3 linked regions of the Rattus norvegicus genome follow. The protein of the gene in region 1 binds, or shares a complex with, the protein of each later gene. Links are inferred from orthologs where the notes say so. Each region holds a gene or a part of one and is shown in the gene's direction. Other genes may lie near its edges. The genes, in order: Ctnna1, Ctnnd1 and Cdh26.

Evidence for each region.
Region 2: Ctnna1 (region 1) and Ctnnd1 share a complex: the UniProt entries of both Homo sapiens proteins name them as parts of the cadherin:catenin adhesion complex. The link is inferred for Rattus norvegicus from reciprocal best matches to the Homo sapiens genes CTNNA1 and CTNND1.
Region 3: Ctnna1 (region 1) and Cdh26 share a complex: the UniProt entries of both Homo sapiens proteins name them as parts of the cadherin:catenin adhesion complex. The link is inferred for Rattus norvegicus from reciprocal best matches to the Homo sapiens genes CTNNA1 and CDH26.

The regions. Positions count from the first base shown.
Region 1 is NC_086036.1:27,128,125-27,138,646, forward strand, and holds the end of Ctnna1 (catenin alpha-1), read left to right. Parts: intron 1-2,445; coding exon 2,446-2,556; intron 2,557-3,208; coding exon 3,209-3,390; intron 3,391-3,515; coding exon 3,516-3,621; intron 3,622-4,978; coding exon 4,979-5,113; intron 5,114-5,773; coding exon 5,774-6,061; 3' UTR 6,062-6,885; downstream 6,886-10,522. UniProt on the Homo sapiens protein: Associates with the cytoplasmic domain of a variety of cadherins. The association of catenins to cadherins produces a complex which is linked to the actin filament network, and which seems to be of primary importance for cadherins cell-adhesion properties.
Region 2 is NC_086021.1:90,093,952-90,104,063, reverse strand, and holds part of Ctnnd1 (catenin delta-1), read left to right. Parts: intron 1-498; coding exon 499-616; intron 617-1,339; coding exon 1,340-1,493; intron 1,494-2,296; coding exon of another isoform or gene 2,297-2,314; intron 2,315-2,758; coding exon 2,759-2,827; intron 2,828-3,850; coding exon 3,851-3,978; intron 3,979-4,076; coding exon 4,077-4,227; intron 4,228-4,850; coding exon 4,851-5,043; intron 5,044-5,500; coding exon 5,501-5,615; intron 5,616-6,147; coding exon 6,148-6,235; intron 6,236-9,454; coding exon 9,455-9,517; intron 9,518-10,112. UniProt on the Homo sapiens protein: Key regulator of cell-cell adhesion that associates with and regulates the cell adhesion properties of both C-, E- and N-cadherins, being critical for their surface stability.
Region 3 is NC_086021.1:185,893,656-185,904,313, forward strand, and holds the start of Cdh26 (cadherin-like protein 26 precursor), read left to right. Parts: upstream 1-4,775; 5' UTR 4,776-5,091; coding exon 5,092-5,142; intron 5,143-10,658. UniProt on the Homo sapiens protein: Cadherins are calcium-dependent cell adhesion proteins. They preferentially interact with themselves in a homophilic manner in connecting cells; cadherins may thus contribute to the sorting of heterogeneous cell types.

The DNA.
Region 1 (10,522 bases):
AGAGCACACTGGGAAGCGGAATGGTTGTGAGTGTGGCTGGAAGATAGTGAAGCCTCCAGTCTTTCCTTTCCGGTCTGTGCTAACGAAGAACCCAAGTGGCCAAAGATGCTTTAGTGGGTAAAGGTGTCTGCGATCAAACTCTGTGGCCTGGACTTGATCTCCAGGACCCATGTGGTTAGAGAAGACCAAAGAAGACTGACGCCTGCATGTTGTCCTCAGAGTCCAAGTCTGTCAGAACATCGATGGTGGCTGGTGGCTGCAGTATGTGTTTATGGGTGCCAAGGCTATATACACTCCATTGACCACTTAGTTCCTCTTCTGTGACTGGATGCCTTGTTAAGCCACTGCTGGCAGAGCTGTCCAGTGTTCCCTAGGAGGAGGTGATCTAGGCTGAGTACCATTCTGAAGCAGCAGTCTGGGGACTGTCCCTCTGATACATGGTTTTCTTCTCAGTGAGCACCCACAGGGTACCTCAGCACCATCTGTAACTCCATCCCAGGGCATCCCAAGCTCTTCTAGCCTCCCAGGATACCAACCACGTATCAAGGCAGAACTCCCACACACAGAAAGTAAATGTTTAAAAAAATTAATGGCTCTATTGGATGAAATAAACAAACAGGCAGTGTTTGCAGCACAGGTCTGACGCATAAATGGCGGCTGCTTACTGTTTAGTTCCGTGCTGGAATGAAGAACACAGGCCTGCTCTCCGGGGCCTCTAGGTGTGTGTGGTGGGGGACTCTCAGGAAGGGCGCCCTTTAGCATCTGAAGTGGGCTTGGTGGAAAAGTGGCAGAAGTGAAGCTTTGAGGATGGTGGTGGTGGAGTTTAGCATTAGCGTGTACACACAACCATCACTGACCCCATTGCTGCCTTTTATTCAACAATCATCTTGGTTTTCTTGGAAATGAGCCTCGGTGATAAAGCCAGGATTCTGTCCTCAGCATGCACACAGTTTCTCCTGTTTGATTTTCACTAGTCCTTTGGCTCCCAATGACTAGTCCTTTGTCCCAATGCCCCACATATCACTTTGTACTCAGCTCCTCAGGCTTGGTTTCCTTTTTAAATTACATTATTTTTTGTGTGCACATGTATTGAGACCAGAAGACAGCTTGTGAAAGTCAGTCCTCTCCTCCTACCATGTGGGTCCCAGGGATTGACCCCAGTTCTCGGGCACCCCTAACCTGTCTTCCTTGTCTCATCCCTCTGCCTGAAGTCTCTTAGCCCAGGACGTCCACACCAGCCCCAGCTTCAGTCATTGAGCAGTCTGCTGTTCACATCACTTGTCCTGTCTCCCACTGCTTGCCCCCTGGCTCAGTCACCTGAGCTGGGATCCAGCCCGAGAGCCAAGTTGTTCTTTTACCTCAGTTTACCCACACTTCCAGCTGCATGTTCCCACTGCACTGCCTCACAGGACCCTTGCCTGTTTCTAGTCACCATGATCGTGCCGGTCACTCGTAGTCAGCCACATAGTTTACTCAGTTTGTGCCCATTATTCCTGTTCGCTGTTAGGATAGGTGAGTGGAGAGTGGAGGAAAGAAAAGAGCTCCTTTTCTTGGCAAGAACAATTCTTAGGACCCAGTTAGGCCTTGAGCAGGCAAGGAAGCAACGTCGGCTGCTGTTCTGGGAAGCTCCTTAGACTTAGCCCACCAACCTACACCAGTCTGTGGCCAGAGCTCAGAGGTGCTGGGCAGGACTCGAGAGTCACACACTGACAGGATCTTTGCGGCTCTGTAGTGCCTTGTGATCCCTGCCCAGTACTGTGCTCACTTCTCTAGACCCCATGGATATGGCTTGGCTTAGGGCCTACCAGAGATGAGGGCTCGCTGCCCTCCTGTCACAGGCTGGCCATCTGGGCTGACACCAACCCCAGCTGTTCTGCCTGCTGGCTCTTCCTAATAACTGTTTCAAGTCAGGAGAGGCTGCTCATATGTGCAAAGTATGATTTTTACCTAAGAACTACTGTAGAGGACTACACCAGCAGTCAGTCCCTTTGGTATGCACTGCTATGTTCTCTTGTCCTTTGACAAAAATAAAATTAGACTTTAGGAATAACACATTGCTTTTTTTATTCCTCAAAATAGCCTTGGCACCCAAAGAGAAAGCCCAGCATTAATTTATGTTCTTGTCATAAAGTAAGCATTTATGAAATTGCTTTATGTTGTGTAAAAACATCTCTTCTTTAAAAACTTTGAGCAAGGATGGTTTTTACCTTCATGTGCAGATGTAGATTCCTTGGGAAATTGTATTAAAAGTGAAATCTCTGTTACAACAAGCCCTGATTCAGAGGTCAGCCTGACTCCTAAGTCCTATGTGAGGACTAAGGGGGGGTGAGGAGACACTACTCTCTGGTAACCAGTGTCTGCACCCTGGGCCTCGGTGCTGCTGGGCAAGGGCTTGCACTCAGCCGGAAGCATGGCTGATTACTCGGGTCTTTCCTTTGGCTGCAGACCCCCGAGGAGTTGGACGACTCTGACTTCGAGACTGAAGACTTTGATGTCAGAAGCAGGACCAGTGTCCAGACAGAAGATGACCAGCTGATAGCTGGACAGAGCGCCCGGGTAAGGACACAGGCTGTGGTCCTCTGCTGACTTGTTCCGGAGAGGCTCTCTGGCTCTGAGACCTGGCCCTTTTCTAGGATATTTAACTAACTATATTCAGAACGCCATTTTTCTGATGATTTTTTTTCCCTGTGGAGTACGACTAAAATCCTAGGTAATGACCTGCTGGTCAATTGTGGCTTCCTAGAAAATACCCTCAGCCAGGAGCAGGGCGGCAACCCAGGGTCCTCCCTGTACACTGGGCTGCACTGAATCAGGAAAGACTGCAGATCTACCTCTGATGGACCTTCCAAAGTTGGAAATGTCTGTTGAAGGTCCCAACAGGAAGGGTTCCACCCACTCATCCCTTTCTCTCCTCTCCTGTTGCTATAGACAACACCAAACTTGAAACTTATAAAGGAGTCAGACCCTCACAGATGTGGTGGTGGAGCCCACAGGTTAGCCTCCCATACTGTTCCCTCCACATTCAGACATGATTTTAAAAAGTGGGTCAGGAATTTAGGCTGCAGTGAATTCCTACAAAAATGAGAAAATTGCCCTTTGGGCAAAATGAAACCATTAAAGTATTATCCTACCTATGTTGTAGATTGCTGTTAGCCGTCTTGGCTAATGCACTGTGAGAACTTCCTGAGTGGTTTGCTTGTGGTTGTAGGCGATCATGGCTCAGCTTCCTCAGGAGCAGAAGGCAAAGATCGCAGAGCAGGTGGCCAGCTTCCAGGAGGAGAAGAGCAAGCTGGACGCTGAGGTGTCCAAGTGGGACGACAGCGGCAATGACATCATTGTGCTGGCCAAGCAGATGTGCATGATCATGATGGAGATGACCGACTTCACCCGGTGAGCGCAGCCCTGCAGCCCACAGAGAGAGAGGCTGAGGACTTCCCTGGGGCATAGACATCTTTTCTCCACTTAACCTCCAACCAAGATGGGATTCATAGACAGGCACCCTGTTCTCTTTTCAGAGGCAAAGGGCCACTCAAAAACACATCGGATGTGATCAGTGCTGCCAAGAAAATTGCTGAGGCAGGATCCAGGATGGATAAGCTTGGCCGGACCATCGCAGACCACGTGAGTGCCGCTCTGCACGGCCCATGGCTGAGGAAGCTGTTGATGAGCGTTCTCATGGGCCACGGCTCACCTTGGAAAATTGCTCTAAGCCACTCCATCAGTCCCAGCATACGTTCCTGAGGATTTCTCAACTCCTATTTCTTTGATGAGTTTCCAGGGTTGGGTGTGTCTATCTAAAACTTTCTATCACTCCAGTCTCTGCCGTGTTGGCTGGTTTTCAGTTTGGAGCAGAAGCAGATTCTGCTGCCTCCCTTCTCCTCACCCTCACCCAGCCTCTTGCTGTGAGCGCTGTTACAGCGTCTAGCTGGGGACAGGCTTCTCTTTCTCCTCACTGCTACTTCATACCTCCAGGAAGCCTCACAGCACTTCCCTGTGGCCTTTTTCTAGGCTTGTTATCCAAGCTTACTGTGTCATTCAGGCTGCAGGATGGGTGACATCTGTCCCTCATTACTCAAGCTAACACTTGGCAGTCATTCTTGACCACCCAATAAAAAGCCTTGTGGACAGTGTGTTGTGACAACACCTGTTCTTTCTGTCTGAAATTAGCAGCTCCATTGATCTCTTACTGCTCAGACCTCTGTGGCCTTTCTTTCCTCTGTTCTGCAAACAGCCATCAACACTGTCATCATAAAATGCAAATCACACTTGAATCTGTCCTGCTTCAGTGGCATCTTAGAAAAATTCAAAGCCTTCAGCATGGAGTATCTAGACCCCATTTTACACCACTGCGCTTCTCCCTCCCCTCCACCATTGGAAGAACAGTGTCTGTTGTGAGCACTGGAGAGTGAGTGAGTGGCTGTGCTTCCTTCTCTGAAGAAACCTAAGCACCCAGCCCCCAGCAGTCTGGGCAGAGGCCGCACTTGTCACCTTTTTGTTAATCACCTGTGCCTAGAGCTCTGTGTTCAGGGTTTATCTTGTGTGCGCCCTGGCTGAGAGGACAGCGAGCGCCTCGGCTGATGAATCACTTCTTTAATCTACATAGCTCAGCATTGTCTCCTCTGTAAGACCAGGCCCTTGCTTGCTGATGCTTACCTCACGTTATAGGGGCCAGGAGCTTCTCCCCTGGGGTGGAAACCTAGGCATTAGCACAGTAGTTGCTGGCAGACCCTGAGTTACTGAGTGGAAGGCTCAGAAAGTGTTCACTGCCTACCCCATGCAGGAGGTGGGCTCTGGGAGGGACTGTCCTGGGGTATGGCACCCTAGAGAATGGACACTCCCCCTTCTCTGCCCCTTGCTCCTTTAGGGAGGGAGGAAGCTAACACCCACGGGGAGCCTTTGAGAAATAACCCCGGGGACAGGAGTTGTCTGGGTGGGGCTGGGAGTACTCAGTGCTGAGCGTCTTTTCCTTTTCCGTCAGTGCCCAGACTCCGCCTGCAAGCAGGACCTGCTGGCCTACCTTCAGCGCATCGCGCTCTACTGCCACCAGCTCAACATCTGCAGCAAGGTCAAGGCTGAAGTACAGAACCTCGGTGGAGAGCTTGTCGTCTCTGGGGTAAGTGTCAGCGATGAGACACACTGGCCAGGAGGGGTTTGCTGGCCCGTGTCTGTAGCAGAAGTAGACATTTGTCCCTGTGCATCGCCCACCTACTCCAGACGGGGAAGGAGAAGCAGCATTAGCTACAAGGTCCTTCTTAGTTCCTCTTGGGTCCTGGAGCCCACCGGCCTCACACCATCTCTTTAGCATGGCATGGTTGGTGTGGCCCGGTGACAGCTGGAACTATTGCCAGGCCTCGTCTCTTTTGCCAGCTGTTCTTTGGAAAAGGGTGTTTTTATACCACCACCACCCCAAAAGAGTAATTAACCCAACTAAGAAATTACCAAATAGAACCGCGCCCACTGCTTTCTCCGTTTCTACCCACAAAGAGCTAAGTTGGAGCAATCCATCAGGTCACAGTCCCTGCCACTGTTCACGGTGCCCGTGCTACACAGCCTTGCACACTCGGCACTGTAAGGGATGGGGGATGAGGCGACTTTGTGTGTTGTCACCTTTTCTTTTCAAAGGCAAGTATTTGCAAGCTACATGGGTAAGAGCTGCCCTTGATAGAGCAGTAGGAGCCCCTTAAGGTGACGAGGCCCTGGTTGGTGTGGCCAGGCCACATGCATGCAGGGTTCTAGTCAGGCTCTTCACCGGTGACTCATCTGTCCTTTGTAGGTGGACAGCGCCATGTCCCTGATCCAGGCAGCCAAGAACTTGATGAACGCTGTAGTGCAGACAGTGAAGGCGTCCTACGTGGCTTCCACCAAATACCAGAAGTCACAGGGGATGGCGTCCCTCAACCTTCCTGCTGTGTCATGGAAAATGAAAGCCCCCGAGAAGAAGCCCTTGGTGAAGAGAGAGAAGCAGGATGAGACACAGACCAAGATCAAGCGGGCCTCCCAGAAGAAGCACGTGAACCCTGTGCAGGCCCTCAGCGAGTTCAAGGCCATGGACAGCATCTGAGCTCCGTAGCCCATGGGGGTCCCGAAAAGTCGGTCACATACTTCTCCACTCAGATGTGTTTGCTAAGTAGAGAGCTCTGTTGTATTCCACAGGGAGGGAGCAGATTTCAAACTCAGCCAGGTGGTGAATTTTGCAAGGACATGTTTGTGTTAAAGCTGGTTAGAAAAAAAGCTTTTAGAATTCAAAATATATTTCTAGCTATATTTTTATAAGCTTAATTGAAATAAAAATTCTGTAATCAGAGAGTGCCACATTAACTTCTTGGTCCATTTCTGAACAGGCCGGGGTGAGCACCCAAGGGAGAGGTTGCCTTTAGCCCTACTGTGGGGCAGTATGGAATCAAATGGCCAAGGGTGACCCAGGGTAAACCATGGGGCACCTTAAACTGTGTGAGAAAGAAGGTCCAGAAACCTGAGGAATAAAACAATGGATTACCCTGGAAATTGATTGGTTTCTTTATGAAGCAGAATGGGAATTATGATTCACGGCTAAGTTACTAATGTGCTCTGCTGTAGGACACTAATAGAGTTGCTTTTCTCGGGCTAGAACGTTGTGATGCTGTAATCAGAACATGCTTCCCCTGTTATTCCAGCTGGAAATGCAAATTCATCGTCGGGCTCTCGTAATAATCGCAGTGTTTCCTGCTTTGGGCTGGCTAAGGAGCCTTGACAGCAGTGTTCGCTTAGGCAATAATTTAGACTCCACCTTACTTGTGATTACTATAGCAATTACCATAGCTACAAGATAAGATTTTACTGTCTTATTTAAATTTTATGAATCTGTTTTTTACACTAATTTTCCCAATAAAGTCTATTATGAACCAAGTCTAAGAAGCAGAAGTCATTCTTTGCCTTCAAGAAGAGTCAGACTTGGGCTAATTGCCCCTCTGCCCAGGATGCCTAGGGAGGAGGGAGAGACAGTGACTGGATCTCTAGGGAGGACCTCTCAGGTTCTTGCCTCCCAGGCAGGGTAAGTCCTGTTCAGTACCCCAGCCTGAGGAGTGTCACAGCCATTCTTCAGGGTTCAAGTCAAAGCCGTGGGGGCCCTTCTATGCCAGCAGCATCAACCATGACATGAAAATGGCTGACTCCATTCCCTAGCCTTGTCTCCTATCCCTTCCTCCTACAGATTCCCTCTTAGAGATCCCTAAAGAGATGGCCGTGGACCTTGTCACCTTACTAACTTGTTCTGCCATTGCAGTCAGTGCTTATCTTGCCCCTTGTCAAGTTGACTGCCTTCCCCAGTCACACTGGCCCTACCTTATCAGACCTGCGTAGGCAAGGTCCATGGAACCCACTTCCTTACACACCTTCTCCTCTGTGCCTTCCCTCATCTGCCTGCCTGCCTGCCTGCCCCTCCCTCCGCTCTTCTGATCTTCTGATCTTACCCAAGGTGCCTGGCTTTCAGTGCCTGATACTGGCTTGTTATTGGCACTCTGCTTTTAAGTCTGATATTCTGAGATGTTCCCTCTGGCCAGGGCGCACCCGCTGCCTCTGCTCTCCATGCCTAAGGCCCTTCGGCGTTTCCACCTTTGCTTGTATTACCAGTCACATTTTTCTGGCCAAATAACACAATGAGGCTACTTTAAAATGCATGCAAGGTCTACAACTTGTGACCACTTCTGCACACTGCCCCATGGCTCAAACCACCTCATCTGTTACTTCCTAGCCAGTGTTCCCCCGAGCTTGGCCGGTGCCTGCAGATCATGGTGTTACCGCTGAAGGAAGTGAGGCTTGGGCTGCTGCCGTGCTGCCAGAGCGCGCTCAGGTGTTATGGCCAGGCTTAATTTCTTGTCACAGAAGTGCCTCCGTAGAAAAACCCACAACATGACAGCTGCCTTCCCCGCCTGGAGTGGTCTAGTGCTCTCTGGAAAGCCTTTGCCCACCATCCCTGCTGTACTGCGCATGCATTGCAGAGGTGGCTGCCCATTAGCACGTCCTGCCCTCCCTCCCTCAGCATCAGGTCAGCCCTGCCCAAGAGAGCCCAAATCTGCAAGCGACTTCACATCACAAAAGCCCAAGTCCTCAGTAATGGCTGCGTCTTGTTCCCACCAGCCTCCCTGTTCTCCAACAATCTGCACACATCGTTAGCACCCCTTCAGCCTCCCAAGTGCTTCCTGGTTTTGCCTGTGCTGGCAGTCCCTGGGTGGGGTTCCTCACGTCATACTTCACACACCTCTTGTTTGAATGGCCCATCACTGACACCCCCAGACTTCCCTGCATTTTTTGTAGTTTTTAACAGATATCACCTCAAGTTTATTTGTAAAGCTAGCAGGGGCCGCCAACCCTCTGCAGATATGTGGGAGTCTCACTAGTTCACCCATCTTCACCTTGGCAATGAACATGGTGCCTTCATACCAGCACTGGAGCCTGAGCCTGGGTTGGCAGCACCGTGACCTTTGGCCGTGTAGCAACAAAATTGCTTCCGAGGCTTAACCACATTCAGTTCCCAAGGGCTGCTAAGGTCTTCTCATCACGTTGCCTGCACCTTCAGGCCCTTGTGCTTTTCAGCAAAACATAAACTCTTCAGGAAACTGGATCGACCCTGTAAGAAATTTGCCTTTGTGATGAGTGTCTGGTGCCTTTTCTGTGCCCTTTTCAAGACTGGTTGTGTGTGTCCAGCTCTTGGACTTGGCCAGGTCTGCACTGACCAGCAGTTCACCGAGTGCCTGGGACTGAGGGAGAAAGAGCCCTTGTGTCTAACCGTGCTGCCATTAGCTCATCAGTAAATGTTCTCCAGTTCAGGCTCTGCACGCCTGGCCACACCCCAGTAGGTCAGTCCCCAGTCCCTAAGACTCAGTCCGCTTCCCAGCTCTGACGTTGCCACAGCAGACGCCAAGAGCTCACCACCGAGGCCTTCATCAGCCTGTGTCTGAGACCAGGGCCATTCCAGCTGCGTCCACACTGCTGTCCGGGAGCCCATCTCTCCCATTCCTGTCCCTTTGTGTTCTATGGTCTTGGCTGTGTCCTCTGTGGAAATATTGGAGGTTTTAGTAAAAAGGTTTTAGCAACAGAGGAAGCCCAGACCAAAATCTTGAAACCTCGTGTGTCCTACAGATCTTGTGATTCCACACAGAGCATGTGAGAGGAGACTCAGTGTGGGAGGGCGACGTTGTGAAGATTCCCAAGGAGGTGCCGGTGCCTGTCCCTTGACGTCTCTCAGGATCTACCCCCATCACCCACTGAGTCCTGAGCTGCTCCTTTCAACCTGGTGAGCAAAGGACAGAAGTCCCATGTTACCTCCCTAGCCTGTCATGCTAATTTTTTGTTATGGCCTCCCTCTATTGATGGGGTCTGCATTCCACAGTCAGCTCTGGCCTTACTAATCACTCTCCTTTGTTTTGATGCCCGGTCCCCAACTTAACCCCTTGAGCACAGAACTTCCAGGCCCAAAAATGAACCTTCCACATGGGCCAGGGCCTCCTCTCCGGGGAGGAAAGCGCTGCTATGATGACCACACCAGAGGCCTCATCCAGCCCGTAGCACACCAACATCAAGGTCTGGTTCCTCCAGCATCCCCCAGGCTCGGCATCCCACGAGCTTTGGTTGTACAGATTGCCTTCTCTAGACTTGTGGTTTCATATCCTTCAGATTCCTGCTTCCTTCCTCGGCTTATTCTTGATACCTGTGGTGTTGCCATAGTCCAGGGCCCCCCTCTGGTTCTGCCCTTCCTACCCATTCCAACATGGCAGCCTCCAGGCCTGTGACACCCAGACAATTCTTGCTGAAATGTTTAGCAACAGGCTTTCCAGGGTGGGAGCAGGCAGGCCACACCTCTCCGCTCTGCATCAGTTAGAGCTTGCTCTGTCAATGCCACTGAGGCGACTCTCACAGGAGCCTCCACCAGTTTCCGCTGCACTCTTGTCCCACAGCCACCAACAGATGACATGAATGTTTTCTGACATCTCTGCTCACCTTCGGGAAATAAATGCTAGCGCCATACCTGTTGGTCGGTGTTGCTGGGTTGGACAATGTCAAATACTATAGAGTGGTTCCTCCAGGTCCTATGGTCCCGACTGTCACTGCAATGCTCACACAGACTTTTAATGGCATTAGCACTTTCTGGCCTACTTTAGAAATGCTCTCACTCTGCGTAGCCCAGGATGGCCTGGCACTGTGTAAACCAGGCTGACCTTAAACTTTGAACGAGGCATGTCTGATGACTTCACTCTCTGAGAAGTCCAGCTTCCATCTATAGGGTGTTCCAATCCTCTGAATAGAGTCTGCCATCACGCCAGACGACTGCCCCTCGTGGACTGCTGTCCTGAACAAGCTGGGATCGATGGAATAGGATCTCAATGTTGTCTGTCACCCGGAGACAATGGGTGTGCACAGATTCAGAGCACAGCGTGGGGAAACCCAGTAGTGGGCTGAGGCTCTCCCTTTTTCTTCTCTTTTTTTTAGGTTGGGGTGGGGCCAGAGAAATGGCTCAGTGGTGATGATCACTGTATGGGTCCAGTTC
Region 2 (10,112 bases), on another chromosome or scaffold:
AAATTAAACACCTTTGTCATTGTCTATATTTGTTCTGCTTTATAACAAATGACTTCTGGCTAGATTTACTGATGTTGATGTGCCTTCCCCACACGCCCCTTTTTTGTGGTGCTGGGTATTAAACCCATTGTCTTGTATAAGCTTGGGTAAGCTGTCTATCACTTAGCTTGAAAGAGCATGTTAGATCCTCAGCCATTGTGTGGGTGCTGAGGGTTGAACCCAAGTCCTTAGAAGAGCATCCAATGCTAGTGCTTTTGACACTGACGGCCTGTTCTAGTTCCTGGTATTTTTTCAACCTGACTTTATAAGCTTGAGAAAGCTCAGAAGACAGACTTTGAGTCAATTTCCAACTGCAGTACCTTGCTTTTAGTAAGTATTAACTACTTATTTTACTGACTAGAAAAAGTTTTAAGGGCACCTTAGATGTAAATGGATAATGATATCTAAGAGGGGACTTCAGGAATCTAGCCATCCTCAGAACTTTGTGTTTCCCCTTAGAAATGTAAGCTCGGAGAGGAGTGAAGCCCGGCGGAAACTTCGGGAGTGTGATGGCCTAGTTGATGCCCTCATTTTCATTGTTCAGGCAGAAATTGGGCAGAAGGATTCAGACAGTAAAGTAAGTTAATGACTAACTGAGTTTTGTTCCCAAGATACCCGTGGTCCACCTACCACTTCAGGCTATCAGATAATGTAAAATACTTATTATGCCACCTCCCCTCCCTGAAATGGGCGTTTAGTTTAGACGAAGAGAAGCGTGCGTGTGCTTAAGTGCCCAGAGCAGAAGCCAGGAAAACACTGGTTCTCTCTGTTACCAGGCACTTTCCCTCTTACTCTTCTGAGACACAGTCTCACCTTGAATCTGGAGGTTGCTGTTTAGCTGGGCTGGCAGCAGACACCTTCAGCAACCCTGTTCCTATAGCACTGGGTTCATAGGTGCAGTCAAGGTCAGTCCGACTTGGGCAGTAAGTGCTGTCAATGACTGAGCTTCCCTTAAGCTCCAAAGATAGTTTTCTTTAGGTGTGTGTGTCCCATATATAGTTAAGCTGCTTAGTAGCCTTCCAGATTATATATTTTCTTAGTAGAAAAAACAGTGACCTATGTATTGGGTCACCAACTAGTTGCAAAAGCCATTAAATGTCTATAATTAGTCCTTCTATTTGCATGAAGATAAGGATTTTGAGGATCTTGAGGTTCTTACAAGGCAATCTGAGAGAAGACGGATTGAGTCATGCATTTAGGATTGATAGTTTAATACTCAAATCATGGAGACTTAGATTTTCTTGGAAACCATCATAAGCATTCTCTTTTCCAACTGAACCTTTTCTTTTATGTCCCTAAGCTTGTGGAGAATTGTGTTTGCCTCCTTCGGAACTTATCATATCAAGTTCATCGTGAAATCCCACAGGCAGAGCGTTACCAGGAGGCACTTCCTAGTGTGGCTAACAGTACTGGGCCACATGCTGCCAGTTGCTTTGGGGCCAAGAAGGGCAAAGGTGAGTCTTATCTAGTTCCTATTCTTTAATATGGGGCAAGAGGAACACTTAGCTTTATAGGTACTTAATAAATAGTGTGGAAGTCTCCCTATGGAGATGTGTCCTTTTGCTCTGGTGGTGGTGGTGGTAGTGGTTGTTGGTGGTGGTGGTGGTAGTGGTGGTAGTGATGGTGGTTGGTGGTGGTTGGTGGTTGGTGGTGGTGGTGGTAGTGGTGGTAGTGATGGTGGTTGGTGGTGGTTGGTGGTTGGTGGTGGTTGGTGGTGGTTGTTGTTGTTGGTGGTGGTGGTAGTGGTGGTAGTGATGGTGGTTGGTGGTAGTGGTGGTAGTGATGGTGGTTGGTGGTGGTTGGTGGTTGGTGGTGGTTGGTGGTGGTTGTTGTTGTTGGTGGTGGTTGGTGGTGGTTGTTGTTGTTGGTGGTGGTTGGTGGTAGTGGTGGTTGGTGGTGGTGGTGGTTGGTGGTGGTTGGTGGTAGTGGTGGTTGGTGGTGGTTGGTGGTGGTTGTTGTTGTTTGGTGGTGGTTGTTGGTGGTTGTTGTTGGTGGTTGGTGGTGGTGGTTGGTGGTGGTGGTTGTTGGTAGTAGTGGTGGTGGTTGGTGGTAGTGATGTGAGGATGGTGATGATTGTTAGTGTTTTGGCATCTAGGGCAGTGAATGACAAGAACTGAGCTAAACTGGGGCCTTCCTCCCTATTCTTCCTCCTCCTCTGCTTTCTTGTGTACTTGCCCATGATCCTGTTGACATCTTTCTCCTGCGTTTTCTTCCTTCATTTCTCTCCTCGCTTTCCACCTTGGTGATGCACTGGAAGATGAGTGGTTCTCTAGAGGTAAGTGCAATCTTTTAAGGCGCTTGTCTGCTAACTTGCATGGTTTGGTTCTTACCTTTCTTAATATCTCTTTGTCTAACCCTTCCCTGTGGATGCATGTAGGAAAACTTAGTTGAGGAGAACCATTGGAATCAGTTTAAACCTTCTGGGTTGTGGTTTTGAGATGCTGTTTCTGGACAGCAGTCCATGTTATCAGAACTGAGTTCACAGCATCCGGAGTGGCCTTCCTTTTATACAGTTTACTGCCTGTTTTGGTCCTCCTTGTTTCTGCATCATCCCTGTTGGGACAGTTATGTGTGGGCTTTCCCTTCTTTTGCTTCTTTTGATGCTGCATCTATGATCTGAAGATTCTGACTGAAGGATGAAAACTGTCAGGTCGAATCTTTCCTTTTAAAAAAAAAAGTTCTTTACCCTGTTCTCTCCGCCCTTTCTCCATTTTCATAGGGAAAAAGCCTACCGAGGATCCAGCAAATGATACAGTGGATTTCCCTAAAAGAACTAGTCCTGCTCGGGGTAAGCTACCCTCCTTATTCTCTGTCTCTAGAGAATTTGGATATGGTAACATGTTTTATGCACTATGTGAACATTTCTCTCTGACTGAGTAGATTTGAAGTGACAGTAAAAGTGTTGGGAAAATTCATTCACAAGTATTTAGTCTAGAGCTAGAAACTAGGCTGGGTATAATGGTGCATGTATGCAACCTTAGTACTTGAGTAGCTGAGGCAGGAGAACTGCTATCAGTTCAAAGCCATGTTGGGATCCACAGGGAGAGCATGCCTCAGAAAAACATAAGAAAAGAGACTTAGCTATCTGCATGGCCACTGCAGGTTTTTGGATCTTGAACCTTACTGTTAGAAGAAATGCCTTTATCTCAGCTTGGATGTTTGGATCCAGTATATTAATGAATATAAACTTGCTAGCTTTCTATAAATATAAAGGTTGATAATTAAATTATGTTATCTCAGGCTGTTTATCATTTAGTCATACTCATGATGGGGACAATGATTGAGTTAAATTAGAAATAATTTTTTGTTTCAGATGTTGAATCATTAGGCCTGGTTGCTTATGGAACAAACAAAGCTAAAGTTAGCTATGAGGTACAAGTCAAGGAGAAAGGAGAGAGGAATTGAATATAATTGCGTTGCTGTCTATTCTCTTTTTTACCATGGGCTAGTAGTAGTTTTTTTGTTTGTGAGTCAGCACCACACCATGTAACCATGGCTTCCTGGAACACTTGTCTGTAGACCAGGCTGGCTTCAAACTCACAGAGATCCGTGGTACATGTGTTGTCCTAGTACTCACAGGTTAAGACAGGAAGATTATGAGTTTGAGGCCAGTCTGCTTGACATTGCAAGGCCCTGTCTCAAAAGACAAAACAAAAACCCGAGAAGACAGACATGAAATCAAGCCTCTGAATTTGCTCATGACTGATAGGGAATTCGAGGGGCCTGATGATGGAGAAGCAGAACTGCAGGCAGCCAGAGCCTGGTTTGTAGGCATTGATTAGTGATTTCTGTTTTGCCCTTTCCTGTGCAGGCTATGAACTCTTATTTCAGCCAGAAGTGGTGCGAATATACATTTCACTCCTTAAGGAGAGCAAGACACCTGCCATCCTAGAAGCCTCGGCTGGAGCTATCCAGAACTTGTGTGCTGGGCGCTGGACAGTGAGTACCTCTAAGAAAATGGATTTGGAGATAGGGAGTGTAGATAACTAGTTTGCTACCATTTGTAATCTTTTTACCGCTTCCCATGTGTTTCCTAGTATGGCAGATACATCCGCTCTGCTCTTCGTCAAGAGAAGGCTCTCTCTGCCATAGCTGACCTCCTGACCAGTGAACACGAGCGAGTAGTGAAAGCTGCCTCTGGGGCACTGAGAAATCTGGCTGTGGATGCTCGGAACAAAGAGTTAATTGGTAAGGATTTGAACTAGTGCCTAGCACAGTGCCTGGAATCCAGCAAACGTTTAGTCATTTGTTGACATCACTGAGGAGAAGGATCTTATAATCCTTCATAGTTTATATTTCTGAGTGTTGAAGGTTCATAGTTTTGTGGATCTTACAAAAGCAAGAAGTGATGATTCTTCCAAAACATTATAACCATTATTATTTGTTGAATATCTGTTTTCTCTATCTCTAGGCATTGTTAAGAATTTTTCTTTTCTTTTCTTTTTTTTTTTTTTTTCATTTGCCCAGAATTGAACTAGTTAGTGGCAGAGCCCAAGTAGTTGAATTTTTTTAAATTCATAAAGAATGCTTTGCCCCACAGATTATCATAAGATAGTACTGAATGTACTGTTTTCATTACTGTGTCTGGAAAGACCAGACTATATTTGATATCCAGCATCTCATTGTCTGTGTGCTCTTGAGGAAATAGATGAATGGCAGTGAGTTTATGGCTGTCTCATGTTCTTGCCCCCTTTGAAATAATCTTAGTAATAATGGAGTTAATTTGTATGACTAGAACTTAACACTTGGCCTGATTACTACTCTCAAGTGTATTGTGAGGCTCCTTCTGACCTTTTGTTTTACTGCTATAGGCAAACATGCTATTCCTAACTTGGTAAAGAATCTGCCAGGAGGTCAACAGAACTCCTCCTGGAATTTCTCTGAAGACACCGTGGTCTCTATATTGAACACCATCAACGAAGTTATTGCTGAGAACTTGGAAGCCGCCAAAAAGCTTCGAGAGACCCAGGGTATTGAGAAGCTGGTGTTGATCAACAAATCAGGGTGAGCTTTTTCTTAATCACAGCTAAGAGAATTTGAGTTTGAAGAAGAGTTTTTAGAAAATAACTTTTCTCTTCCATTCTGTGAGATTACTTCTTCCTATAACATGTGGAGAGATATTGCTCTATTTTCATTCTTAGTGTCGGTCTGTAAATTGGTATGGACTGTTACATCAAAGTAGTTTATGTCAGTGTTTCATACAGTATAAGAGTTGGTGAAATTTGGCTTCACCCATTTTTACATTTTTATATCCTTGTGCTGTTAGAGCAGTAGTTTTCAACCTGTGGGTGTCAAGTTATGAAGTAGCTATAAATATAATTTTATGTCTGGGGTCACCATAACGTGAGGAACTAACTATATGCAGCATTAGGAAGGTTGAAAACCACTTTGTTAGAGAGTAAAAGTTCTGAGATCCCTGGTCTGAAAACTAAACTTTGTATGGTGTTACTTTCCTTCATAGGAATCGCTCAGAAAAAGAAGTCCGGGCAGCAGCTCTTGTCCTGCAGACAATCTGGGGCTATAAGGAGCTTCGGAAGCCACTGGAAAAAGAGGGGTGGAAGAAATCAGACTTCCAGGTGCAATAACTCTCGACTGAAGCTTTGACTTTTCTTCTCTTTTGTTCCTTGGCTAGTGCCTCTGTCTTTGGTTAGATTGTAAAGACTTGCCACACTACTTTTTAATCCAGTTTATTATAAACTGTGGTGCTCACAGTTTATTTTTGCTGAAGTAGTTCTTCTCTCTCAGTGTTGAACATACAGTAGATGCTGTTGGTAGAGAGCAGTGATAATGTATGGCCACTGTGAGCTTCCTGTCTACTCAGACCCTTCATGTGCTTACTGTTCTCTGCTCCCTCTAGCTCTGTCCTCCAAGTACTAGCAGTGTAGGTATGCACTACTGCCTAGACTCAGTCTTTTCTGAGGAGTTACTGTCAGTAGGCACCTAGCATCTAAGCCCTTCAGGAAGAATGTGTGAGGGCTAAGGCAGGTGAGCATGGGGAAGGAAACCCATGCTCTTTCAGGGTTCCTGAAGTGGGAGGTACATGGTTAGGAGAAGGGGCCAGGAATCTCTCCAGGTTTCTATGACACTGGGTTTTATGTTTGTCTCTAGGTGAATCTAAACAATGCATCTAGAAGCCAGAGCAGCCATTCATATGATGATAGCACTCTCCCCCTCATTGACCGGAACCAAAAATCAGGTATTATAACCAAGGGGTGCAGCTTTCTCTGTTTAGTGCTCCTGGCATTCTTTAATGGCTTATTAACTGAGAAATAGGATATGTGTTTATTTCTAATTAAGCTAGATGCCGAGTGTGGGAGTAATGCTTTGCATCCGGATTGTACTGTGTAAGAGAATAGGTTTGAATTTAGAAATCAAACAGGTGTGGTGGTGCACACTTGTAATCCCAGCCAGCACTCTGAGGTGGCAAAAGGAGGGTCAGTAATAGGTCAAGGCCAACCTTGGCTACATGACACTCTGTCTCAAGGGAAAGTAAAACCAAAATCAAGGTAGTTAGTAGCGTGAAGTGCGGCTTTTTTTTTTTTTTTTTTTTTTCTGTCACAAATAAACTTTTATCAGGGAACTGGGGCAGGGTGATCAGAGAAGGACCTGAAGTGGGAAAGAGGAAAGGAAAGGGGGTGGCTGGGTGGCTGGTTGGTTAGAGTGTCCTAAAGGACAACCACCTCCAGCCACCGAGTGTGGCTTCTTTAATTTGCCTGCGAACTTCAAGTTACTAGAGGGTGAATCAGTTTTCTGTTTAATCTCTCTCTTAAATTTCTGTTCTACTGGGGTTGGGGATTTAGCTCAGTGGTAGAGCGCTTGCCTAGGAAGTGCAAGGCCCTGGGTTCGGTCCCCAGCTCCGATACTTATTAATGTGCTTGGTTAATTATTAGTGCTTTTCTAGTTGGAAAAAATAAAAACTACTGACAACCAGAAAGTCCATTATTTCTAGTCCCTAGAGAAAACACCACCGCTATAGCTCTGTGTGTGTGTGATTGTGTTTTTGTGTTGCTGTGGTACTGGGGACTGAATCCATGTCTTTCTTGGCAAGTTTTTTTTTGTGTGTGTGTTCCCTGAGGTAGAGCTTTTTAAACCACTTTATCATAGATGAATTATATATTTAGTATTTTATATATTTGTTTCACTAAAAGTATGTACCGTAACCTTTCTTATCTTACGGCTTTTACCTTTTGATTCCACCCATGGCTTTTGGAGCATGGCGTGAGAGCCCCAAGATTCTTGGACATATGCACTGATGACATAAAAGCAGCGCGTGCTGCCGGGGCCAACACAGATGGAGATGGTGACACTGACCTGAACTAGTTGGGTTTACTCCCATGCACTCCTCAGTTAAAAAGCCATCTCCATTTAGGAGCATCCTTGATGGAGCTGTAATATTTTATTATATTTCTACCCTAAGTACACATCCCCTAGATGTGTAGTGTTAATGAGGAAATGTGAAGCTCTTGTGCTGCGCCACAGGGAGCCACTGTGATTATCTTGAGGCAGACTACTGGTATTACTAATTAGACTAGCCAGTTTTTATAGAGTACTATTTTACTTAATGAAGTAGCTGACACACAAGTGATGATTATTTCAACATGGTTATTTGGCAAGCATTCCCTCAGAAATAAACACAGAAACTTTATTACTTTGTTGAAAAAACTGACAGTATTTGCTACCTGAGTGAAAAATATAATTCTGGCTGAGTGTAGTGTCTCATCCCAGCACTTGGAAGGCTAAGGCAGGAAGATTGCCCTTCATTTAAAGCCAGCATGGGCTACATAGGGGGTTCAAGGCCAGCCTGAGCTGTAGAATAAGACCCTGCCCCCTGAAAAAGCCTCAATAAACCCCAAAATCCGAAAGAAGAAAAGTATAATTGGGAAAATCATACCCATGTTACTGAGCCTAGTAACATCCCAATACTTAGAAGGCTTTTTCTAGGGCCATCAAGGTGGCTCAGTGAGTAAATTCACTCGCCAGTAAGCCTGACACCCTGAGTTCATTCATGAGAGAGAACTGACCCCTGAAAGTTGTCCTCAGACCACTGTATCCGTGTCATGCTATGAATGGACACGGATACATGGTCGCTCTCTCTCTCCTTCTCTCTCTCTCTCCCTCTCCTCTCCCTCTCTCCCTCCCATGTGCACATTCATACCCATGCGTGCGCGCGCACGCACACACACACACACACACACACACACACACACAAAGTGTAATAATAAAACCATTTTTATGGCTTTTATGATTATATAAGTCAAGATAAATACACATGTATAATAAAATGTGTTAATTTTTACAACATTTGCATAGTTCTGTAAACTGTTATTTTGCAGGGAGACAGTACCAATACTTTTCAAAAATCTGTGTATCTGTATAAGTAAATGCCATACAAGGGCAAGACAGACTACCCCATCTACTTTCTGTGGGTTTCTTGAGGCAAGGTCTTACCATGGGCTCCACAGTTGCCTGGACTGGGAACTTACAGTGACCCCTACCTCTGCCTTCTAAGTGCTAAAATTATGAGACTAAGTTCTACTTCTATCTCTTCTATTAACCCAGAGTTAAAAGAGGTATATAAAAATGTTCAACAGTGTTCCCAACCTTGGATTTTTATTTTAATTTAAAAATTAATTATTGTCTGTGATGTGTGTCGTGGGCACACATATGGTGGCCTTCAAGTGGAGGTTAGAGGGCAACCAGGGAGCTTGTTCTTGTAGTTATATCTGGTCTCTAGGATCAAACTCAGGCTGACAGGCTTGCACAGCGAGTGCTCGAGCCCGTTAACCACCTTAGCGGCCCCCACACAATGCTTTTTAAATTGAAAGTGCTTATGATTATGGAAAAAATATTTTTATGTGGAATAGATGTTTCCATTTCTGAATATAGTAAAGTCTGCTTATTCCACGCCAATGGAAGTCATTTCCTACACCCTCATTCACCTCATATGTGAGAAGACTAGGCAAACGCTTCATCTACTGTTGAACTACATCTTTAGCCTAGAACCTTGCAATCTTTAAGACTAAAGGGGCTTTGAGATGTAAGGGCCCATATTGTTGAAGGTCCCACCCCCCATTTATTTCTTTGTTTATTTAGTTTGGGTGTGAGGTCAGAGGAAAACTCGAAGGGCTCAGTTTCTTCACAGGTTGTTTCCAGGGATGAGACTCAGGCCATCAGGCTTGACAACAAATGCCTCTGAAATGTTTCTTGTATTTGGGTGTCTATAGGAAAGGGACCAGAGTTCTGCAAGGGCTTTCCTAGAACCGTAGGTTGTGATTAGTCTTGGCACATAGTATGTGCTGAGTAAAACTGTATTGAATAAAGGCAAGGAAAGATGGCATGCTAGAAAGAAATGTCTACTTTATACAGATTTTGGTGTATTGCATTTTGACTTGGATAACTTTCTAATTCCATATAGATAAGAAACCTGACCGGGAAGAAATTCCAATGAGCAATATGGGGTCAAACACAAAATCATTAGGTAGGTAAAGAGTTCCTGTCTAATGTTGCAGAATAGTGTTTAATTGGGGTGAGTAGGCATTCTCTCTCTCTCTCTTTTCTTTTGGGACAGGGTCTCAGGTCACATAGACAGGTCTTGAACTCCCTACAGTTGAGTCTGCTCTTGAACTCCTGATTCTCCTGCCTCTACTTCCCAAGTGCTGATATTATAAATATGCTCCACTGTACCTGGCTCTTTTTGTTTTTCCCCTGTAGCTTTTACCCCCTAAACAACCATCCCAGAAGTATAGTGATTGATTATCTCCATTTGAAAGGATATCTGAAATTATAATAAAATTTGATCAATCTACTCTTTTCTACATTTTTATATGTTACTGTGGATGGGACAAACTTGAACTTTAAAAAAATTGGTTTTAGGAGAAAAAAAATTTATTTTTTGAGACAGATCTTTTTGTATATTCCTGGCTGTCCTAAAACTTGCTTTGTATATCAAACTGACCTTAAACTCACCAGGGCATACCTGCTTCTGCCTCTCCTGTGCTGAGACTCTGCCATGCCTAGCCAATTTATTTTATTTTGTATGTATGAGTGTTTTGCCTGCGTGTATGTTTGTTTAC
Region 3 (10,658 bases), on another chromosome or scaffold:
ATGTTGGTTTCCCAGAGTGGACTATGACTGTACCCCACCTTGGTTTATTTTTGGGACTTTTGGAGGAGGGTAGACATCGGTCTCCTCTCTTCCTAGGAGGGGATTTTGGCAATACTGACACAATGAGCTCCCACCTTAACTCACGCATCTTGAAGGGAGTCGGCTTTTGAGGGAAGCCCTGGTAGAAGCCAGCGTCGGCTGTAAGCCTTCCCAGAGTCCTTCGCAACGCCTTCCTAAAGCCACTTCTGACGTCGAAGCGGGTGCCTCTAAGGACGCCAAACTGCGGTAGTCGTGGCGCTGGGTTAGAAATGGTCCTCTGACATTAGCCAAAGTCACCAAATCGGAGGTATAAACTCCAGGCTTAGACTGTGTGTGAAAAATACAGTTACTTGAGCAGTTGCTCCTCAGTCATCCACTAGGTGGTGACCAAACCTTTTGAGACCCTGGTGAAATCTGTTACTGTCTTCTAACAGAGCAAACCTTTGTAGTGAAATCAAAACAGAACGGGAGAGCAAAGGAACGCTTAGCTTCCGACACAAAGCAGGTCCCTCACTCACCTGTCCTCCTCCGCCACAGATTAAATAAATTCTTAGGTGTGGTTAACTACAGTGGGGGGTTCTCCGGTGTTCCTAGAATGTTCCCTAATCACGAGGCCCTGCCTAGCAGATGTGAAATGACATCATCATCTATAAAATCTTGACAGAGAAGCCACCTTCACAAGACATCAGTAAAGACACCCACACTTATGTGTAATATTTACTTAGCAATAGCAAGACTTTAAATATACGTAGAACGTTGAAATGGATTGCTGTGAGTGGGATTGTGAGGCTTGGATATTTTAGACTCATGGGGCTCAGGGGCTTGAACAAAGGGGCTCAGAAGCGAGACCTTTCTGACCCATTCTCTGTACCCCTTCTCCCTGAGGTAAGCCATAAAAGCTAGAACGGGGGACAACTGGAAACTGGGAATACTTTTCTCTCCTCCCATGCCCTTTCTATTTAAGATCTGGCTGAGAAGACAGTCTCCTGTTCTTACCTCAAAGACAGAGCCCATTCCAGGTGTCTCACATGAGCACTTCCACAAGGCTGTGCAGGCTTCCTTACACTGAACAGTAGCCTCCTCCCCTTCCCCTGAGCCATGGCGTCTTCTGAAGGCTCCTGGTCAAGGAAACTGGCAAAGCTGTTGTGCTTTTGCCTGTCAACTGTCTTTTGTCACATGTGTACACCCAGACCCTTACTTACACTGGGTGACCACAGGATCACACCTTTCTGCCTCTATAGAGAAACTGCAACCTAAGTATCACAGTGGAGCCTGTTAAGCCCTAGGTGTTATGCTGCTCATGCCTAGGACCTCCCCAAACAATGGGACTTCTGCATTTTATGGAGCCTTGACACCCTCAAGCTGGAGATGCCTGCCTTTCTAGTGCACAGGTCCTGTTGCTGCTGCTGCAGAGGCTCTGGCTTTAGATCTCAGGAATCACACAGTGGCCCATCATTGTCTGTAACTCCAGTTCCAAGGGATCTGGCCCTTCCAGCTTCCCTGGGAACTGCCCGTGCACATGGTGCTCTTGTATGTAGACAGGCAAAACACGCATACACATTAAAGCATCAAAACTTTTTTTTAAAAAAAGAAGAAATACGTTTCATTGAGAACTTGATATGGGGGGCATCACCTTGAAACCTCTTTAAAGCTCCTTCCCTCTTTTTAGCCTTGTACCTCCCCTTCCCCCCAAAACCTCCCTCCAAAACCTACTCAGACAAATGACTGGAGGGTCTGATAGTTCTGCCAGCGGTGTTGTTAGTGTAGAAACATAAAGGCAAAAGGTGAATAAGAGGGCAGGGTGGTGGGTGATGGTTTTATTGGTAAAGCATGCAGACCTGAGTCTGATCCCAGTACCTATGTGAAAAGCCAGCTATGGTGGGCACACTTGGAAACCCAGCTCTCGGCAGGGATTGGGAGGTAGAGGTGGGTGGATTCCTGAAGCTCACTGACTGGCCAGCTATCGAGGTGTGGGCAAGCATCTGGGATGAGATCCATTGTTAGTGCTGCAGGATGATATGAGCATCTTCAAACCCAAGGAAGGTTGAAAGGTATCCAGTCATGGGTGTGAGCACCCACGGCTCCTTGTGCTCACTCCATAGCTACCAGGCCGCCTCACCTACCCAGGCCCCTCTTGGCTGAAGCCTTCCACAGCAGATTCCCTCTGGGCACCAGCTGAGCTGTATCTCCCTGAGATATCTCTGCTTTGGGAGGCTGTAGCCTTCCCTTGGTGGCCAACGTGTACACCAGACTCAAGCTTTCGGATCTACACTGCTGTTACTGGAAACAGCGCTCTCCTTAGTGCTTGTCTGTTTTATCTGTTTTTGGCTGGGGAGGCAGATCAGTCAACATAATGCTTATCACACAAGTTCGAGGACCTGAGTTTGTTTCTAAGAACACACATAAAAATCCAGGCATTGGCTGGGGCCATGGATCAGTGGGTGAAGGTGGTTTCTGTCAAGTGCAGTGCAGTGACCTTCAACCCCTGAGAACTGGAAGGTGGAAGAAGAGAACCAACTCTCACAGGTGGCCATCTGACCTCCACATGCATGCACGCGTGCGCACGCGCACACACACACACACACACACACACACACACACACACACACATGATAAATATATAAATGTAATTGAAAATTTAAGTCACTTACGGTGGCATTAGCCACCCTAATGCTGGGAAGGAGAGACAGGAGGATCCCTGGGACTGGCTGGCCAGCATATATGGTAATTAGCATGCTCAAGTGCAATGAGGAGACCTGTGCAGTGAGAAATGATGACCAAGGTTGACCTCTGACCTCCACACATCCATGTAAGTATGCCTGCACACAGACCTGCACTCACGGGGACCCATGTCTCACTGCGGCACACCAATCCCTCTTGAGATTCCTGAGGAGTCAAGCTTTGCCTGTGACCACGAGAACCAAGCATTGAACTCAATGATTGGCTGGATATGAGTGGCCATTCCTGGAAGTCTTGATCCAGTGAATTCCTAGCAGGAACCATTTTTGATTTCCCAACCTTTCAGTCTCTCAGTCATCCATCTTGCACACATTTTCCTTTAGTCACTTGGGTTGGCTGAAGGAGTCCAGTTTATGAGGTTGATGACAACATGGATGGAAGTCAAATCTCTGTCTTCTGGGTAGGCTGGACCCTCGTGTGCCCAGCCTGGTGTTCTACCATCCATTCCAGCTTGAAGAAGGATGTGGTTTCTCACTAGGACATCTCTACCCTGTTTCCTGGAATTTCAAGGCTCTTTTCCCTCAGAGCCTGAGAATGGAGAAAGGAGGATGTTCAACGTTTCTCTGAAGCAGTGCTTCTGGCCTTCTGCTCTGGTGGAGAAAGCACCATCATGTGACTACACAGCTATTTCTGTGCTTCCAACCCCACTGAGGAGTCCTGGCTTGTTGTTACCAGAACCCCACGTGTTTAAAAGCATATTCCCTAGGGTGAATGTGCATCAGTTATGGCTAAAGCCTGAGACGACCACAGCCCAAGGAGAAAGGCCAATCCCCAAACAGCATTATTTCAATGTAGAACAAGTAAAACTAGAGCCATTGCCTAGCATCCCTGGGGTTCTTTCCAGAGCATTGCACTCACAGCACTATCTACATCTAGCTTAGGACACTTGCAAACACTGGATTTAGGGCTCTCTTCTGAGGCCTCCCAGGATGATCTGAAACTCTCTGAAACTCTCTGAAACTCACACAAAGTAAATCCAGTCGTTGTTACCGATTCCCTCCCTACGCAGAAGGCACCTACCAGCCTGCCACAGCGTTGACGCTTTCAATGCAAGAGGGTCCGACGAGTACGGTAACCGTTGAGCACAGATAGTCAGCTTCAGCTCACGCTCTGAGAGAGCAGGACGCTTACAAGGACTGCTGCCCGTTTTGCCCGCTGAAAACTGGCCGTTACTTTAGGCAAGATAAGGAGATAACTCACGTATTAATAAAGGTTGTCAGAGTCCAAGTTCAGGCTTTGCTTGAACATTTGCAAGCCTGACAGGTGATGTCATCGAATCCCAATGTGGTCCTTTCCCAGAGCCTAAGTCAAAAGGCCCAGGTTTTCCCAGAGACTCGGGCTAGGGGTTGGGGTCAGCAGTCTCCATATCTCTGCCCACTCATTCTTTAACTCCATCAATGCTCATAAGAGGTTTAGGTAGAAATGGTTTTATACCCCAGAGCCCAGATATGCTTGGCATAAAGGTTTTGTAACATGCACTGGAGAGTTATAATTTATTTTTCAGTGCTAGGGGCAGGAGGAAGCCGGGTCTTGCCTGTGCTTCCAGGTAAGTGCTTTACCGAAGTCACACCCCAAGTCCCCTTCCTTTCTTTCTTCCCCACATTATCTTCCCTGGGTATAATTGTATGGGATTCCAGTGGAGCGTGGGCACCCTAAGACAGCTTTCTCCCCTCCCCTGTGCTGCTTATTGCTGTGTTCAGCGCCACCCACCGGATGTCTGGCCCAGCAAGGGTCCAGTTAGAAAACAGAATGGGGACTGACAGGCACACTGATTGAGCCACCATCACCATGGGCTCTCCCTCTTTTTCTTTCTCTCTTGCTCCCCCACCCCCTGGGGAACTCTATATAATTTCTTGGGGTTGTTTTTCCAGTTTCCAGCGACTATAAGAACGATTAGATGTCCCACTATAGAGGGATTATTGGACTTCTATTTAGAAACTAAAAACCAACCAAGAGACGGAGAAACAAAACCCGATCTTCCCATAGGCGCTGGCTTTCTTTCCTCCGGCTGAGCTATAATCCCCAAGGCCGGATGCCCAACCACTTTTCTGTGTACACACATAGCTTTGGTGTTTGTATCGGAGCACCTGTTTCCCTAGAACTCTGTGGCCACAGACGAGGTTATGCCTCATCCGTCAGCCCACCTTCTCTGATAAATGAAGGCTGGGCGGAGAATAAAGGGTGCAGCAAAGTCAAGTGTCATGTCTTAAGTACCCGAAGGGTGACTGGAAGCAATGTCACTGGTTGGAGAGGAAGTGCCTGGCTCCTGGTGAGGCTTCCAGACTCCAAGGACTCTCTGGTGCCCAGCCCAGCATGGACACCAGCGTCTGTGCCTGGTTACTGCTGCTGCTGTCCTTGCCACAGGTGAGCTGAGTGGGGGCCGGGATCTGTGCACAGCATACGTATATGGGTTTTTAATTTTCTAGGCTAAAGGGATTTGTCAGGGCAACTTGAGCCTGGAGAGAAGCAGGCATTCGGTGGAGACAGGGGGCTGGCTGTCTTTGTAGTAATATAGGCACACAGGGTTCCAGGATGTAGGTAAATGTGGGGTTGAGATCCACATCTTATGGGGGAGTGGGGAGCAGCTGAGGAACTTGATGCCAGTTTATGAAACACACACAGTTTTAAGTTAGATCTTGTCACTTTAAGAACGTTTCCCTACAGTGCCTCTGCCCCCACTTGAAAGGGACTGAGGGGACCTCAGTTAAAAAAATCTTAGGTTAAAGACAAATGTAGCAAACCAGTGGGCTACTGAATAACCCCACTGTGACCAGAAGGAGAAAAACAGGGGCTCCGCTGGGCTAGTGGTGGTTCAGCCTTCCTTTTGGTTTTCATAGTCAATGACTGAAGGGGGCTACAATCGTGAGTCACTTGTAAGACTTCTGCGGGGCCAGAGTCTTGGGGGAACACAGAACACAGCAGCAAACACAATAGGAGTTCCGTCTTGACACGCTTACACGCTAGCCTTGGCACGCTTACATGCTAGCAGAGCCCTGCCCCAGTTTTTTAAAATGGATGCCTTGCCTAGTACCAGTTGCTTGGAGTTACGAGAATTGTCTCTGTTGCCTTTTGCCGTGTCAAGAGTTGAGCTTTTAATCAGAGCATTAATCTCATCTATAGTGTTTCCTAGAACCCTGCTTTATTACCCCACATCAGCCTGGATTTGAGTATATTGCAAATCAAATCCTTTCTCCATCCTCCCTGTACTTGCACCTACCCCCAACTCCTCTCTTAAGGAAATGGCAACATTCCCCGCTCGCCTCTGTTGTGTTAGCACAGTGCCCAAGCAATTAATTCACCTCTAAGGGGAAGTGCAGATGCTGGTGTGGGGAGGGGCGGGGGAGGGGAGATCCTCCTGAGGATGGTACCTTGGTGTTTGTGTTTGACTGATGGGACTTTATAGACCCTAGGGAATTCTGGTACTTGGGAGCAGGGGATTCTGAGGAATCCGGGGGTTTCAGTGAGGACAACGCAGGGCGTTTTTCTTGGTGAAGAACCGTAACTTCAGCAGGTACAGGATCACTCTCTAAACTGGCTGAGAGAAACACAACCCTCCATGCCTCCCAGGTTCCTCCAGATTCTGCTTGCACCTCCCCCACCCACACCTAATCTCCACCAAGACAGCCTGTGATGTTCTGCTGGGGGGGTGTGGTGTGTATCGGTTTCTCTCTGAACCCCACACCCTTGCTCTGTTTTTTAGTTTTTATCAAGCTCTTTGAGAATTTCATCCATGTTTGGTCATAGTCTCCCAATTATTCCCAGATCTAACCCCTCTCCTCTTCCCACCCAGATTCAAGTACTTAAAAAAAAATCAAGATGATTTTGTGTTGTCCAAAAAGAAAACCTTGAGTATGTGGCCTTCCACTAGAGCGTAGTCCATTTACCAGGGCTATGTTCTTATTGAAAACAGAATTTCCCTCCCCAGTGGCTAAAAATTACCAACAGTTCCAGGACTCTGACATGAAGCCAAGTGACAAAGTCAGAAGTGTGTTCTGTAGGCTAGTGGCCTTGTTCCACATTTGGTGACACCCAGTTTAAAGCCATCCTCCTGGTTGGTCATTTCTAGTCCCAAGAGCCAAAGAATCCTCAGGTTGGGTTGGGCAGGAGTTAAAGGCTAGAGGGGAGAGAATTCTTCAACAAATGGAACCGGAGTAGGAGGAAAGCCTGGTGTTTTGTGGTTGATGATGATGATGATAGTGGAGGTGGTAGTGGTGGAGGTGATGGTGGTGGTGATGGTGGTGATGATGGTGGTGGAGGTGGTGGTGATGGAGGTGATGGTGGTAGTGATGGTGGTAATGGTGGTGGTGGTGGTGATGGAGGTGATGGTGGTAGTGATGGTGGTGATGGTGGTGGTGGTGATGGTGGTGGAGGAAGAGGAGGAAATGGTGGTGGTGGTGGTGGTGGTGGTGGAGGTGATGGAGGAGGAGGTGGTGGTGGTGGTGGTGGTGGTGGTGGTGGTGGTGGTGGTGGTGGTGGTGGTGGAGGAAGAAATGGTGGTGCACTGCTAACAACCGTGCTCGGCTTGCTGAAGTCACTGGAGCTTCACCAGGAATGAGAGACTGGAGTGCTGCAGAGGTGGATAACAGGGCAGTCTGAGGTGAACCTTAGGCTCCCTGGGAAAGAGCATCCAGACTATCCCAACAGCAGTGGCTTCCTATTGGGACTTTCTGCTACCATACATGAAGAATCACATATTCAAGTGGTTAAAGGCAGAGAGTGGGTTGGAAAAGCATGTAGCAAAAGCTGGCTCTGAACTAAGAAAAATGTGTGTTCACAGTCAGAGAGGCCTGGTGTCTGCAACTGTACCAGCAGCAGGACCACAGTCCCTCTGGTAGAATCCTTCAGAGCCTCTTCCTGGCTCTTCTGCTATTGCTAAGAAGGCCTGCAACTACATCACCCCATTCTCTGTCCAGGCCATTGCCAGTCTCCTTCCCGGGTGTCTGCTTCCTCTTCCTGTCATTGGATCAGGGCCCACGAGGACGTCTTCACGGCAGCTTGATGAAACCGAAAGACATCTTAGTTTTGAGATGGTGTCCGCAGGTTAGGACTTCTGCATACGTGTTTAGGGATGTCACTCAATTCCCAGCAGAGGGACGAGAAGGGACAGAAGTGCTCACTCCAGAGAATGCCCCAGTGTCTCTCCTGGAAATATGGGGACTCTCAGTCCCAGAGGTGGGCACAGAGGGCTGGAAGGCTGCAGAGGAGCCTGGGAAGGAAAGAGGAGGGGGAGGTATGGAGAGTGAGCAGGTGCAGCGTTTTGTTGTCTTAGGGGGTCCTGAAGAAGGGACACTTTGGGGAACATGAGCTAAAAGGGTCGATTTTGGTTAAGTTGAATCCAAGGGGACCATGTGATATAAGAGGAAATAAAGGTTTCAAAAGGCCAATACTTGGATACTTGGCCCTTCCTGTTTGAAGTACAGTTTTACAGTGAGTGTGTGTGTGTGTGTGTGTGTGTGTGTGTGTGCATGTGTGTACGTGCCTGTCTATCCGTCCATCTGCCCATCCATCCGTCTGTCTGTCTTGTGTCTGGGTGTGCCCTACCATCCCCCGCAGGCCTTTGCATGCCTAGCCATCCATGTGGAGTCAGGAGAGCTTTCAGGAGCAGGTTCTCCGGGTCTATCCCATGGGTCCCACTGGTAAGTGGAGGTCGGCTGGCTTCACACCTTTGCCTGCTGAGTCATCTCACTGGCCTCTTAAGCATTTTAAGAAATTAAATAGTAAAGAGCTGATAGGTTCAAATCATAAAGTCGTGCTTACCAGGTACCATATAATGATCCTATGGTTGTGTGCATTGCACAACGGTCAAATCAGGACGGACTTCCATCACCTCAACCTGTTAGCATTTCCTTATGGCGAAAACATACAATATCCTTTCTTCTAGTGTCTGGAGCAGGGAAGTCATTGGGCCCACAGATCTCCAGGGAAACCAGGAATGTTAAGTGCACAGGATTGTCTTTTCAGTGGGAAAGATGTAAAACCTGCTCTTCTATCCAGAAAGCTGGGAACTGACTAACAGCCTGGTGACCTGCATTATCTGTTGGACCAGGCCGTATCACCCTCTCACAGCCAGATCCTGAGATACCTGATAGTCTAAATAACCCTTATATTAACTGTACAGCCAGGGGCTCTCCCAAGCTCCCACAACCAGGACCAGACATGGCTAACAGCCCAAATGGTCTCTACACTATCTGTATGACCCCAGATCCTTCACTAGACCCTTAAGCAGATACAGGCTCCACATCTCCAGGATCCATCATTTTAGAAGAAATGGCATGTACCCCGCGTTGAGCTCTGATGTACGTATGTTTCCTCAGGCACTGGGGATTGTATTGCACAACCTCCCCCCCCCCAAAGTATGTTGTGTTTAAATATATTGGCAATAAATCACCTGGCACCAGACTCCCCAAAGTTTGATCCAGGTTGACGAAGTCAGTCTGAACTGAGTTAACTCTTCTCGCAGTTCATTTCCATGCCTGCCGTGACGCCTGCAGAGTCCCCCTCATTCCGGCTTTCTTAAATGTCCTTAAGTGATTTGCATGCTGTACATCAAAAACACGGTGATCCGCAGCACGGGGAGGATTCTGTATGTGCAGTTGTATGCAATTACTCAACACCACGCAGATGAGAGTCAGACTCAGGTCAAACCACTTGCCTGCCATCATGCGGCTACTGAAGAAAGGGATGGGGTTGGAACTCGGGCCTGACTATTGTCTTCTCTGTGCAGAGAAGGCAGCCATCACCGGTTATATGTGGCAATTTAAACTTTGCTTGAGTCTAATTTAAGACTCAATTCCATATGTGCATGCTCGTCTTCCAACTATTCAGTGAGAGCTACGTGGCCAGTGGCTGCCATACTGTAAAGTGCCTGAATACTCTATCCCCAGGGTGCCCTCGGACTGCCTGTTTAGAGCCCAGAAACTGGACAGACTGAAGGCCAAGGAACCTGTGTAGAAATGTCTTGTGGGAATTTAAAATGCTGATTTCTAGGACTCCAAATCCTCCTTGAACTGACATGTACATTAAAATTTTAAATATTCAGACCGGAACTATGGCTTGGTTAGTAGAGTAATTACCTAGCACACACAAGGTGAAGGGTTCTATTCCCAGTGTCCTATAAACTGGAAATGAGGGTTGCAACAGTTGATGCCTGGCATTGTGTAGGGGAGATAGGAGGATTAGAAGTTTTAGGCCATCCTTGGCTATGTAGCAAGACTGAGTCAGCTTAGGCTACCTGAAACTTTGGAGAGAGAGAGAGAGAGAGAGAGAGAGAGAGAGAGAGAGAGAGAACTAAGACCCCCAAATAGAAAATGTTCTTTTTGAAATGCTTGAGTTCTCTCTCTCTCTCTCTCTCTCTCTCTCTCTCTCTCTCTCTCTCCCCCTCCCTTGTAATTTATTCTGGGAACTTTTAATTCTCAAAAGATATCATTCCCCAGCCCCCAGGTAAGCTTGAATAGTATGGGTGACCTGGCCCAAATCCAATCTCACTTGTGAAAGGGCATTCAGGGTTGGAGGGGCAAGAGCTTGCCTGCCTGCCAGTCGGATAAAACAGCCTGAGGTAGGCTGCAGCCGGGAAGTCAGCCTGGGGACAGTCCTCTTAGCACTGCAGAGAGCATTATGCAAATTGCTGTGAATGGTGTCCTTTTGGGAGGAACAGCCTCAATTGTCCAGGATGGAGGTGTAATAAGCGCTCTTACAGAGTCATTTTGGCAGCAGGAACAATTTTGAGTCCTCTGCATCATGCAGATGAGCCATTCTGAAGCTGCACAAAGAGAAGAAAGGGCAGACAGGGGCTGCAGTGCGGGCTTCAGGTACCTCTCTGGCAAAGTGTAAAGCTCCCCGCCTTAACTCCCTTTGAGGATGTGATTGGCTTTTCCTGCCTG